Linked DNA regions of Oryzias latipes. The protein of the gene in region 1 purifies or fractionates together with the protein of each later gene. This does not show direct contact. Links are inferred from orthologs where the notes say so. Each region holds a gene or a part of one and is shown in the gene's direction. Other genes may lie near its edges. The genes, in order: scap, insig1 and srebf2.

What was found.
Region 2: the proteins of scap (region 1) and insig1 purify together in Homo sapiens (affinity purification with western blotting; 11 studies listed by BioGRID and IntAct, with this or other methods). This does not show direct contact. The link is inferred for Oryzias latipes from reciprocal best matches to the Homo sapiens genes SCAP and INSIG1.
Region 3: the proteins of scap (region 1) and srebf2 purify together in Homo sapiens (affinity purification with western blotting; 3 studies listed by BioGRID and IntAct, with this or other methods). This does not show direct contact. The link is inferred for Oryzias latipes from reciprocal best matches to the Homo sapiens genes SCAP and SREBF2.

Annotation. Positions count from the first base shown.
Region 1 is NC_019874.2:27,614,187-27,617,841, reverse strand, and holds part of scap (sterol regulatory element-binding protein cleavage-activating protein), read left to right. Parts: intron 1-2,127; coding exon 2,128-2,668; intron 2,669-2,894; coding exon 2,895-2,980; intron 2,981-3,655. UniProt on the Homo sapiens protein: Escort protein required for cholesterol as well as lipid homeostasis.
Region 2 is NC_019878.2:19,443,341-19,446,769, forward strand, and holds part of insig1 (insulin-induced gene 1 protein), read left to right. Parts: coding exon 1-153; intron 154-568; coding exon 569-668; intron 669-3,429. UniProt on the Homo sapiens protein: Oxysterol-binding protein that mediates feedback control of cholesterol synthesis by controlling both endoplasmic reticulum to Golgi transport of SCAP and degradation of HMGCR.
Region 3 is NC_019866.2:19,993,318-19,997,072, forward strand, and holds the start of srebf2 (sterol regulatory element-binding protein 2), read left to right. Parts: upstream 1-1,593; 5' UTR 1,594-1,845; coding exon 1,846-1,936; intron 1,937-3,755.

The DNA of each region.
Region 1 (3,655 bases):
GGCCGAGCCTGGTCGGGCCATATTTATAACATCCCTTGTGGGCCGCCCTTTTTTCCCCGGGGTTCCCCCCTCCTGGGCGGGGGCGGCGGGCCCCTGCCTTGCTCCTACCTGGACCAACCGTGGGCCGGGTGGGTGGCTGCCTGGAGTGCGGAGCGGGTCTCCCTTGGGGGGTCCTGGCTCGTACCTGGGGTCGGGGCGGGGGGATGCCCGGAACTCCTGGGTGGTGGTGGGGTGCTCGTCTGGGGCTGTGGGCGTCCCTCTCCGGTGGGGCCCTGCGTTGGGCTCTTCCGGCGCGGCGGGGGGCTGCTTTCCTGGCTGGGCTGGGGCGGCGCTCTCTTTCCCTCTGCGCCTCCCTGCTCTCTGGCTCTGGGGGCCTCGCGGCGGTCCTGCTGGCCCTGGCCTGGGTGGCGGTCTTGGTCGCCCGGGGGGCGGTTGTTCCCTGCCTGTTCCCGTGTGGCGTCGGGGGAATTCCGGCTGCCGCTGCTGCTGCGGCGGGGGTATGGGTGTGGGGGTGGCTGGGCGCTCCTCCTCCTTCTTTTCACATTCCACCATCCATTTTAGAAGAACATATACACTCACCTGAGCACAGGTGTTAGCTCACCTTTGCACTAATAGTTTGCATGATTGAATGAATGAAAGATTTCACACTAGTTGGTTTAAAGGCATAGGTATGCGTTCGTGAACACTATCTGTCTTGTGTGCATGTTGACATGTGGACATTTTTGCGGCTAGCAGGTGTGTTGATAATATTTGAGTGTCTGTGAACAGGCCCCGCCCTTTTTGTACTACATTTGAACCGTACCGTAACGATAAACAACCAGTAAACCTGTCTGCTCTATGCTGCTTCATGGTCTTACCCCCCTTCCCCTCCTATTATCACCCTCCTACCCCCCCCTCTCTCTAACGTCCCTCTCTCTTCTTCCCCTCTTTCTTTTTCCGTCCGGTCCAACACCAAAGATTTTCAAACATGATTGAAATTAATAAAGTTTGGCCTCAATTACAAAAGGGGTTTATTCAGACATACCTTTGGTTTGTCTGAAGATGAATAACCCCTCTTGTTAAAATAAAATATGTCCAACACAAGAGGCCCTCAGCTCTCATCTGTTTGCCCAGCTGTTGGACAGGACAAGTTAAAAAAAATAAAATAAATAAATGCACTCAGCGCAAACTCTGCCTTCAGAACGTCTTTTTCTCCCCGCGGCACATCATGTCCCCGGTAGAAGTCCAGCAACCGGAATTTATTAAAGCCGCCCCGCGTTTCTCCTCCTGCTATAAGCTCTGCAGTTCTCGCCCGATAAATACGAGCTCATCAAGGAAGCTGTGAGGCGCGCGCTTTATACTGTTGCCGAGTGTGTGTTTGTGCTGAGCGGTGCGCGTGCCACGAGGGAGGGGCGCGTGCAGGTGGAGATGGGGGTGTCAGCACGGAGCGGAGGTGTGTGCGTGAAATATATTGTGTTTTCGGAGGACGGAGCACTAAATTAGTAGTCGTTGTTCCCCATCAATACTGATCAATACGGAGCCAACAGCGCCAAATGCCTCACAATATGCCACGCTCCCCGCATTGCACCGTTTACAGCAGAGCATGAATACGATGGTCGCTGCTTTCTGTCTTTGTAATAAAACGCCTTATCTGTTAATACAAAAGTATCTTTATGTAAACTCACTGTGTAGTTTTTAATCATCAGTACATAAACAATAATGTTGAAATAAACATGTAACAAATAAACATGAAGAAGTACTTTTTTTTTTATCTTTTCTGGCCCGCAATCTACACTTATGTCATTGAAATTCGATCGCGATCGACGTAATGAGCACCCTTGATATAATATATACATGCATAATATATATAATGATGTCAAAACGGGTTGTGGCTCCGGGTGCTTTTTTTTTCATTAGGGGCGGTCCCAAATGGCTCTTTGAGTAAAAAAGGTTGCCGACCCCTGCATTAGCGGAATAGACTTCTGGGAAAGGTTGTACATTTGAAAGTACTCATTCTGTAGTAAAAGTAGGGTTCCTTTTTGTCATGATTCATTTTACTGTTTACTCTTGAGTAATTTCTTTTGCTCTAGAGCTAACAAAGTTCTGTGCCCCCCCCCCCCCCCCCCCCCCCCCCCCCCCCCCCCCCAGGCTGAGGCGGAGCAGCAGCAGTGGCTGCTGGGAGCAGCGGGAGGGCTTGGATGGTTTGAGCAGAGAACCCGAAGGTTTGGGCTTTGAGAGCCGAGATCCCTCCATCGGCGGGGAGAACCTCTCAGAGGAGGACTATTTCCCGCTGAGGCGCCGCGCCTCACCCTCCAGAGTGGTTCTTTTCACCGACCAGCCCGATCTGACTCCGCTTATTGACACCAACTTCACCTCCCAGCCCCCTTCTCACCTGTCCACCCCACCCAAAGAAGGCTTTGACTACGGCAGTCTGGTGGAGCGGGCGTACACAGAGCACGAGCCGCCATCGCCGTCCAGCTACCCCTGTGCCTCCTCTGCGTCCTCATCGCCGTCCTCAGCTGCTCAGCCTCAGAGGAGACTCAGCGTTGGCGATGGAGGCGGGGCTTCGAGTCAGGAGAGAGGCTCCGGATCCGGGACTCAGGCGGCTCCAGACTGGGAGAGCTCTGTGTGGGCCATGGAGCTGAGAGGAAACCTGATAGCTGCTGGGAGGAGCAGCGGCAAACTGGAAGTAGGAGAAAAACCTCACTCAGCATCTCTTAATTAGCCAATTAGCTTTTTTTACAGTTTTGCAACAGAAATGAACCTATTTGACTGGATGTCCCATCAATGACAGGAAAATGCTCCACCTGCATTTGGGAGGAGGGGCATTTTTACAAAGTTTGTCTGCCCAAGCTCACAATTAAACAACATATATTCATATCAATGTATTGAAACACATGGCGCCTGTCTTTCAGTTGTGGGATGCAGTGGAAGGGTCTCTGCGATGCAGAAATGAAGACGGAGTCTCTGGAATCACAGCTTTAGCCTTCTTGAACAACAGGTAAAAACACCTGCAGAGCAACTAACCCCTCCCCCTTTTATTCAAATGTCTTTCATCCGTTTTACTAAAACAAGAAGTGTTTATCTTTCTAGTCTAAATTTAAAATGTATGTATATATAAGTACAAGAAAACATTTAATAACACAGTGGATATCAAAATACGTTATGAATTATGGATTAAAACACAGTAAAATAAAATAAAAAAACGTTCAGATGCATAAAACAATTGATTATCTGTGCAGAAGGATGATAAAGGAAATAGTGGAGTGAAAAACATACAAGACACCATTACAGACAAAGTGATTGTATAGGATGACATACAGATGCCAACCAAATGAAACAGGAGAACAAGAAAGTGTTTGTGTCAGTGAGTGTTGGTGACTCAGTTCAGTGGATATTTGACAAGACTGTTACTAATAAATCAATAAAAAAGACACCATATAAATGAATAGTTACTACCATTAATTTATATCATAAAGTTTACCATAATGTTAATAATGATGACAGAATTACAAATAATAATATGTACCGGTATATCAATAAAAAATTCCAATAGACAAAACAATTTTAATAAAAGTAAAATAACAATATTAATAATTGACAGAATACTGAGTGTAAACCTGGGAATTATTGTCTTCTAAGACAGGGGTGTTCAAACGTGGCAAAAAGAAGAATG
Region 2 (3,429 bases), on another chromosome or scaffold:
CAACAATGTGCAGCTCTCCCTAACCCTGGCCGCGCTCTCCTTGGGCCTGTGGTGGACGTTCGACCGCTCCAGGAGTGGCTTCGGTCTGGGCATCACCACCGCCTTCCTCGCTACTGTCATCACACAACTGCTGGTCTACAATGGCGTTTACCAGTAAGTCAGCCTTTTTTCAGGGGAGATTTGGAGCAACAACGTGTGGTTTCAATGTTGTGTGAACAAACAAGAATGTTTCTCTCTTATGGCTGATTCTCAACACTAATAAGTGATTGTGCAGTAGTAAAAGTTGACCTTTGTCACTTAGAATCCATTTAACTGACTGGTTACTAATGTTATTGGATGCAATCTGTTTTTTTTTCTTCTCCGCTTTGAAGACTTTTATTTTTAGATGATCTCATTCTTCAAATTCACATGGGTAGTTGCGTAACATTTAGCCCTGCTTACATGGTGAACAGCAGAACGGCACACCAGAGGATCAGAACATTTCTATGAGAGATTGTTGACATTTTTAATCCATCCGCCTCGCGATACCTGCAATTATCTGACCCTTGATTCCTTCTCTTTGCTGTAGGTACACATCTCCAGATTTCCTTTATGTGCGCTCGTGGCTGCCGTGCATATTCTTCTCAGGCGGTGTGACTGTGGGGAACATAGGACGCCAGCTTGCCATGGTAAAGCCCTCTGTCAGTTGTTTTTCTTGTAAAGAGTCGCACAGACAAACCTAACTGCCTAAGTCTAAAGCTGCATTCACACCAAACACGATTTGCTTTGCGAATCCGCGTCCTCCGCCTCTATTTTGCCGCGCAGCGAATTCTCTGCTGGACGCTGGTTGAAAAAGGTGTTCATAAATCTGACGCTCCCGCCCGCCGTGTGTGGGAGGAGCTTCTGTCCAACGTCTTCAGCTTCATTGCTACATTGCTCTACAAAAACATCATTAATCACGTCTCCATGTCTGGGTTCATGAGATCATTCAGAGGCTCTCGCAGTACGGTGATCTTCACCGTCTACTGCAGGAGTTGCGTCTGAATGGCGGACGCTTTCAGCGGTACTTCCGTCTCTCTGTGACCCACTTTTGAAGACCTGGTGTCCCGCATTATTCTGAGGAGTGACAAATAAAAACAAAAATAAAATTAGAGGCACTTTTTATTTTGTATCCAGACAAATAAGAAAAATATCTTAACGATCAGTTTCTCCTCCCTGGTGGTTTTGGACTCCACCCGTTGATTACATTATCAAGACGTCACGGGCAAAAGACTGCCAAACTTCAGAAATGTGTATTTCACTGCGCCTCACTCAACACTTAGATTGTTCCGTAGGAGCTCTGATTGCATCTGTACATTGACTGCAGTGAAACTGGACGACTCTGCCGCGTGAATCTCGTTTGGTGGGAATGCAGCTTAACATCTAACCTGCTGCTCAAAACAGGTGAACTGTACTACACCAGAAGACTCACTGTTGGGGCTAAAAAAAAGCTTGTTGTAGAGTTGCAGAGTTTGTTTTCAGCCTCCTTTTAGACTGGTGTGCCTCTGAGGTGTGCACACAAAATTCCAAAACAGCAACAATGTCAGTCAGAATATATCTGAATGTGAAGCAGGAAATGTTTTATGGACTTCCTGAAACAATAAATCCATCTACTTGACCAGCATGTGGTGATGTTGATTAGGGGCTGCAGCACAATAGTCTGTAATGTTAGATTCTTATTTTGCTATTTTATTGGTTAAAATTTGTATATTTCTGTCACAACATCTTCATTTAAAAAAAATTAAATTACAGTTTTCCCTAGTTTGTCGCTGTAGTTACCTTCAAAAAGTTACCTGCAATAGGTATTTAATGATTTTTTTTAACAATAAATAAGCCCTCACAACACACTTTATACCATTTTCTCTTAAAGACATTAATATTTTTGCACTTTTTTTCTCAAATCTTTATAGAAAATCCCATCCTGTTATTATAGAATGAAAACAAAAATCTGATTGAGATTTGAAGATTTATGTCACTTTGGGAAAAGTAACATATTCTGTACAGCATATTCTGCACGGAGGGGATTGGTTGACAAGGTCAACGGCCAATCAGGATGCAGAACTCAATGCACTGGGGCAAAACTGCACAAAAAATCCACAAAATATGTCCCCCTAATATAGCGAGGGAACACTTTATCAAAACTTTCAAACTCTTCAAGGTGGTTCAATAACTGAAATGTATGTCACGATTTTAACATTCAACGTTTTAACCCTTTCAGTTCTTTTCAAGCAGTTTGATCAAGTTCTGGTTCTGAATATTGAACTTTAACATCATTAGTGTTTTCTTTGCTACACGTTTGTCATCCTATGAAAATACACCACAAAAAAACACAATTCTCTTACTCAATAAGGCACAATCTGCATTCAGTGAGCGAATACAATTATTTGCACACTTTCCATTTCACTCCACAAAATCCTGTAGCATCTGAGGAAAGGCGGGGGGGGGGGGGGGGGGGGGGGGTTATTGGTGAGTTTGTTTAACCATCAGTTGAAATGAAAGAGAAAATAAATCTAAAGTGTCTCATCTTCATTTTCCACTCCTTTAAAGAGTAGAACCAGTTCTGTAGGTGTTTCTGGTTTGATTTGCAACAGTCAGGTGTTTCTCTTAATCTTGATTAACTTTTTTTTTTAATTTGTCTGTTTGTTTTTAAAAGTTTACACTTTTTTGATTGTCACAAAAACCGGCTCCTGTGTTTATTACTTAGCAGCAGCCAGTCACAAAATATTCCAAAAGCCTCTGCTGCAGCGAACCCACTTCATATGGAATTATGTAGTTGAGCAAGAGCAGGAGATAAGATTGTAATGGTTTAAATTTGTGCAAAGAGCATTGGACACCCTCCTCTCCTTTATAATTACCCCATCAAGTCGGCTTGATGTCTTCATTAAGCTCGTGCCCGGAAGCCTCACCTCATTCTGTCTGTAAAGCCAGAGCGCCGTCACTCCCTCAGTTTGACTCGGTAAAAGCGTGAAAGCAGATTAAGAGCTGTTGTTTCTCACAGCCGCCGGGAGACACAGAGCCAGTCGGGACTCGGCTGACCGAAGGGTCATTTGCTGCTTGTTGTTTTTGTTTGTGATGAGGCCCGAGGACTGTTGGCACAAGTCTGAACTCGCACTTTTCAGCCTTTTCTTTTTCTCTCCTCCTTCCGCTCCATGGCGTCATTTATGAGAAGGATCAGGAGGAACCTGAGACTTTATTTCTATTCCACTTGTCTAGTTTGCATTTAAGCCGATTCTACTAAAAGAATTTGTCATAATAAAAGGTTTAAGTCATTTTTTAATCGTTTATACTTTCAAATTAAAAACCCAGTCTAATGAAAATTGAGTTTTAGTGTTTTGAACATCTTCTTGTGGCATTTTTGTGATAAAGGAGGACATATATAAAGAAAATTAATCTTAAAATTGAATTCCTGAG
Region 3 (3,755 bases), on another chromosome or scaffold:
TTGGACTTCTGTTCCTACCTCTGGTTTGGACCATCTAGAACCAGGAAATTATTTTTAAAATTTATTATTCTTATGTTTCCTAACAGATAAACATGCACTTCTTTAGTTTTCCTACATTAACGATTATGTATTTTTCAAATGACTGATTTAATTCTGTTTACCAACTGGCATTTACCGTTAAGTGTTTTTTGTTACCATTTCTCCACATAATGGAACAAAAGTATTTTAAGCACAATATGCACTAAATAATAAAAAGTATGTAAAATGACTTGAATGTATGCTGATTTATTTCTGTTTTTTGATATAAAACACCTTAAACCTGTCTTCTAATGTTCTATTTCTAAAGGCTTTTGCCTCACATCAAGAAGGCCCCCGGCTGGGAGACCTAAAACAGAACATCAATGGAGGACCTTTCTGTGTTCTCCCAGGGGACTCCAGCTTCCTCCCACTGCTTCATAGGTTAATTGGTGACTCTAAATGGTACCTAGGTGTGAGTGTACATGGGTGTGTGATGGCGACAGACTGGCGACCCGTCCAGGGTGTCCCCTGCCTTTGCCCACAAGTAGCCGGGATAGGCTCCAGCAGTCCAATGACCCTGAAAGGGATAAAACAGTAAAGAAGATGAACGAATAAATAAAAATAATAAACAAATAATTCAAAAAAAAAAATCTGGAGTCAAGTGTACCACAACATTGCAGTTAGATGTTTCTAATTTACTTGCAGTTGAACCTGAGCACTATATCCACTAAGGTTTAAATGAGGAGGCTGCATGGCAGGTTAGGATGAGCTGGACGTTGTGAGGGAACACAGCTAATTATGAATGGGAAGGCTGCTCAAATGAACTTCTCACACTGCAGATTTGTAGACTTACGGTACCTGTGACTGGGTGAGTTATTGTGCTGATGTAGCACCGATGCTTTACAAGCGAGTAAATGTGCGAAACGGTATTTACACGCAACACAAAGCAGCCAAATGGTGAGGTGACAGGATAAACTCTACCGCTCTTATATTTTAGACCCTTTTTTTTGCCTTTTTTATTCTTCATGTATATATACAAGCTTGTTGTTCAGTCCTTTATTAACTGTTGAATACTGCAAAAAAAGAACACATTTAAATGTTAAATACAAGTTTTATATTATTTTAGGTTTTACAAGCATTAGTTTCTTTAAAAATACTTATTTAAATATATGCGTTTTTATCATTTAAATATTTTATTAAAATAGAATTCAGAAAATGGTTAGAATTCAATAATTAAATGACAAAAGTTCCACATATTAACAGAAAATTTGATTTTCGCATAAGTAAATATTTTAAGATTTAAGTTGAGCTTATTTCTATCGCTGCTTTTAATTACAGTATTAATGTAAACTCATAAATAGTAACCGCCTGACGAATCAGACTCTCCATTGCTCCTGTTTCCTTTATAAAGACAGGGGGCGCGGTTTATTCAAATGACACGCAGGCTTCTGATGGTTGACGTGCTATCAGACCACGGTAAATCCCGCTCTGTCATTGGTCACTGATGACTGGTCCCATGACAAGAACAATTAGGTTTCCACCAATCAGATCCCGGCTTCAGCTCCGGAGTATGTTTGTGAATGACGTAATTAGCGTAAAACAAGATGGCGTCGCCTTGGCTGTAAATCGATGTAAAAGTGTTTATCGGAGTAAAAGTCAGCCTCTTTTGGCGGTTTATTGTTGTGTTACGACTACTTCGATACGGAACAAATATATCTAGCCGGTAGCTGAGCTGTAGGCAGGGCCCCTTCAGAGGAGGCGGTGGTTTGTGAGTGTCGTGTCCGGCAACCCCCGGCGGGAGAGTGCCGGAGAGCTGCTGCTGTCAGGATGGACACCGGAGAGTTCATCTCCACCGTGGAGAACATGGACCCGAGCTTAACGGAATTAGGGGACGAATTCACTTTAGGAGACATTGACGGTGAGTTCACTGGGTTTTGTCAACACACTCAGGTGTTGTTATTATTTTTTAATTATAGTAAGTGTCCGTCTTCCACATATGTTCTAAGCCTAGAAAACTAAGATATTTCAGTAGCTCTTAACACACAGGGTTTATTATTAATTTAGTTTGTAGCTACGTTTATTTTTGTGGGAAATACACGTAAACTTGTCTCTGCTTTTCCGTTTCCTGTTGGATTCATTCAATATTTTACTAAACAAAAGCTATTTTTCGTTATTTGTTAAATTAAAGGTGCAAAAAAAAAAAGCTAGAGATTAAAAATGACTAGAAATTCACCCAAACTAGTGTCATTTTTCAAAACTGACGTTTTTTTAATGAGGCAAAGCGGCTGTCGAGGAATACCAGTCAGTCAAAACTGAGAAAGCATCACCTGTGTGTTTATTATTTATATAAAACATGAAGGAAGATAGCATAAAAATTATAATATAATATTAGCAGAACATAGGCTTCTATTGGTAAAGCAAAATGAAAAATATTTAAAGAAAGAACAAGACAGTTGAAAAGGTTGTGGTCGTTATTTTCCAGCTTTATTATGAAGGAATTACTTAAGAATTGCACTGATGTCTGCATTCCTTGCGTTTTTTGATAGGTAAGACAGATGTGTTGTTACTATTGTCAAAGGCAAATCTGTCAGAGGGTAAAAGGACAGAGCTTTTGGTTGAACACTAGTCACCAGATCCCCATTAGTGTGGAATCTCATTCAATGTCACCAGACTGGACTGATGAAATGTGGGTGTGTTCTACATAGAGAACTATAGAATGGTACTAGGTGTATAACATTATTATGAGGCAGAGACCATCAAGATGCAGTGAGAAACTGCTCTTTTATTTTGAAATTCTGTCATTTTGGTTTTTGCTTCAATGCAAACTGGTGAAGAAACATTAAAGCACCCACCAGCAGAACATCTATCATTGAGTTAAAACAAACAAACCTTCTAAAGCTCTCATCCCTTACATGCATTTAAATTCTCAAAGCCTTTTGCTCACATTAGAAGTCATTTTTTGTTTTTTGATTGTATGATTAAATCCTTGGCTTCCCTTCCCTGTCTTTTAATCTTTTCGACTGTTGGTTACATAACGTATTTTCTTTGCTCTCAGCTCCCCCTTTTGATGGATTTACTTTGTGTCTGCTTGTTTAAAGCTTTGGAGGCTCAGAGAAGTGTTGTCCCGTCTGCTGCACAGTACGGATGAAGACGAGCATGTCTGCATGAGAATGCGTTCAAAAAACTGCTTTATGTCTAACTTTCACACCATTATTGCGTTTGTTGCACCTCTTTAAACACACGCTCAGAGATGAAGTTGTTTATTTTAAGACACAAAGGATCATTGCTTTATACGCTTTGTTTACTGTCTGCGTTCCCCCGGCAACAACCAAAAAAAGGGCAAACAACATTTTTCCGATGTGCCACAGGTGACCGGCGGAGTCTGAGGACTCACTGCCCATCGTGACATTTTCTGTAGGAGTAGGAAAACAAGTTATTTTAAGATCAAATGATGCTACAAAGCCATAAAATTGCAAACAAAATGACCAGTTTTAAAGATATAGAAGAAAAGGACTTCTTCCAAATGCTTTTATAAATTGCAGATCTTAGCCAGATTGTCTTAAAATGATTAATTTATACCTTAACAGAAGCTTTGTCATCCTTCTTATTAAAAAAATCATTTGAAGGATTTGTTTGTTGGACTTTCAAAATGTATGTGATCCTGCTAAAAATGAATTTCCTATATTTAGATTATAAAATTTACATTATACATTTATTAGAAACACAAACTGCTGTCA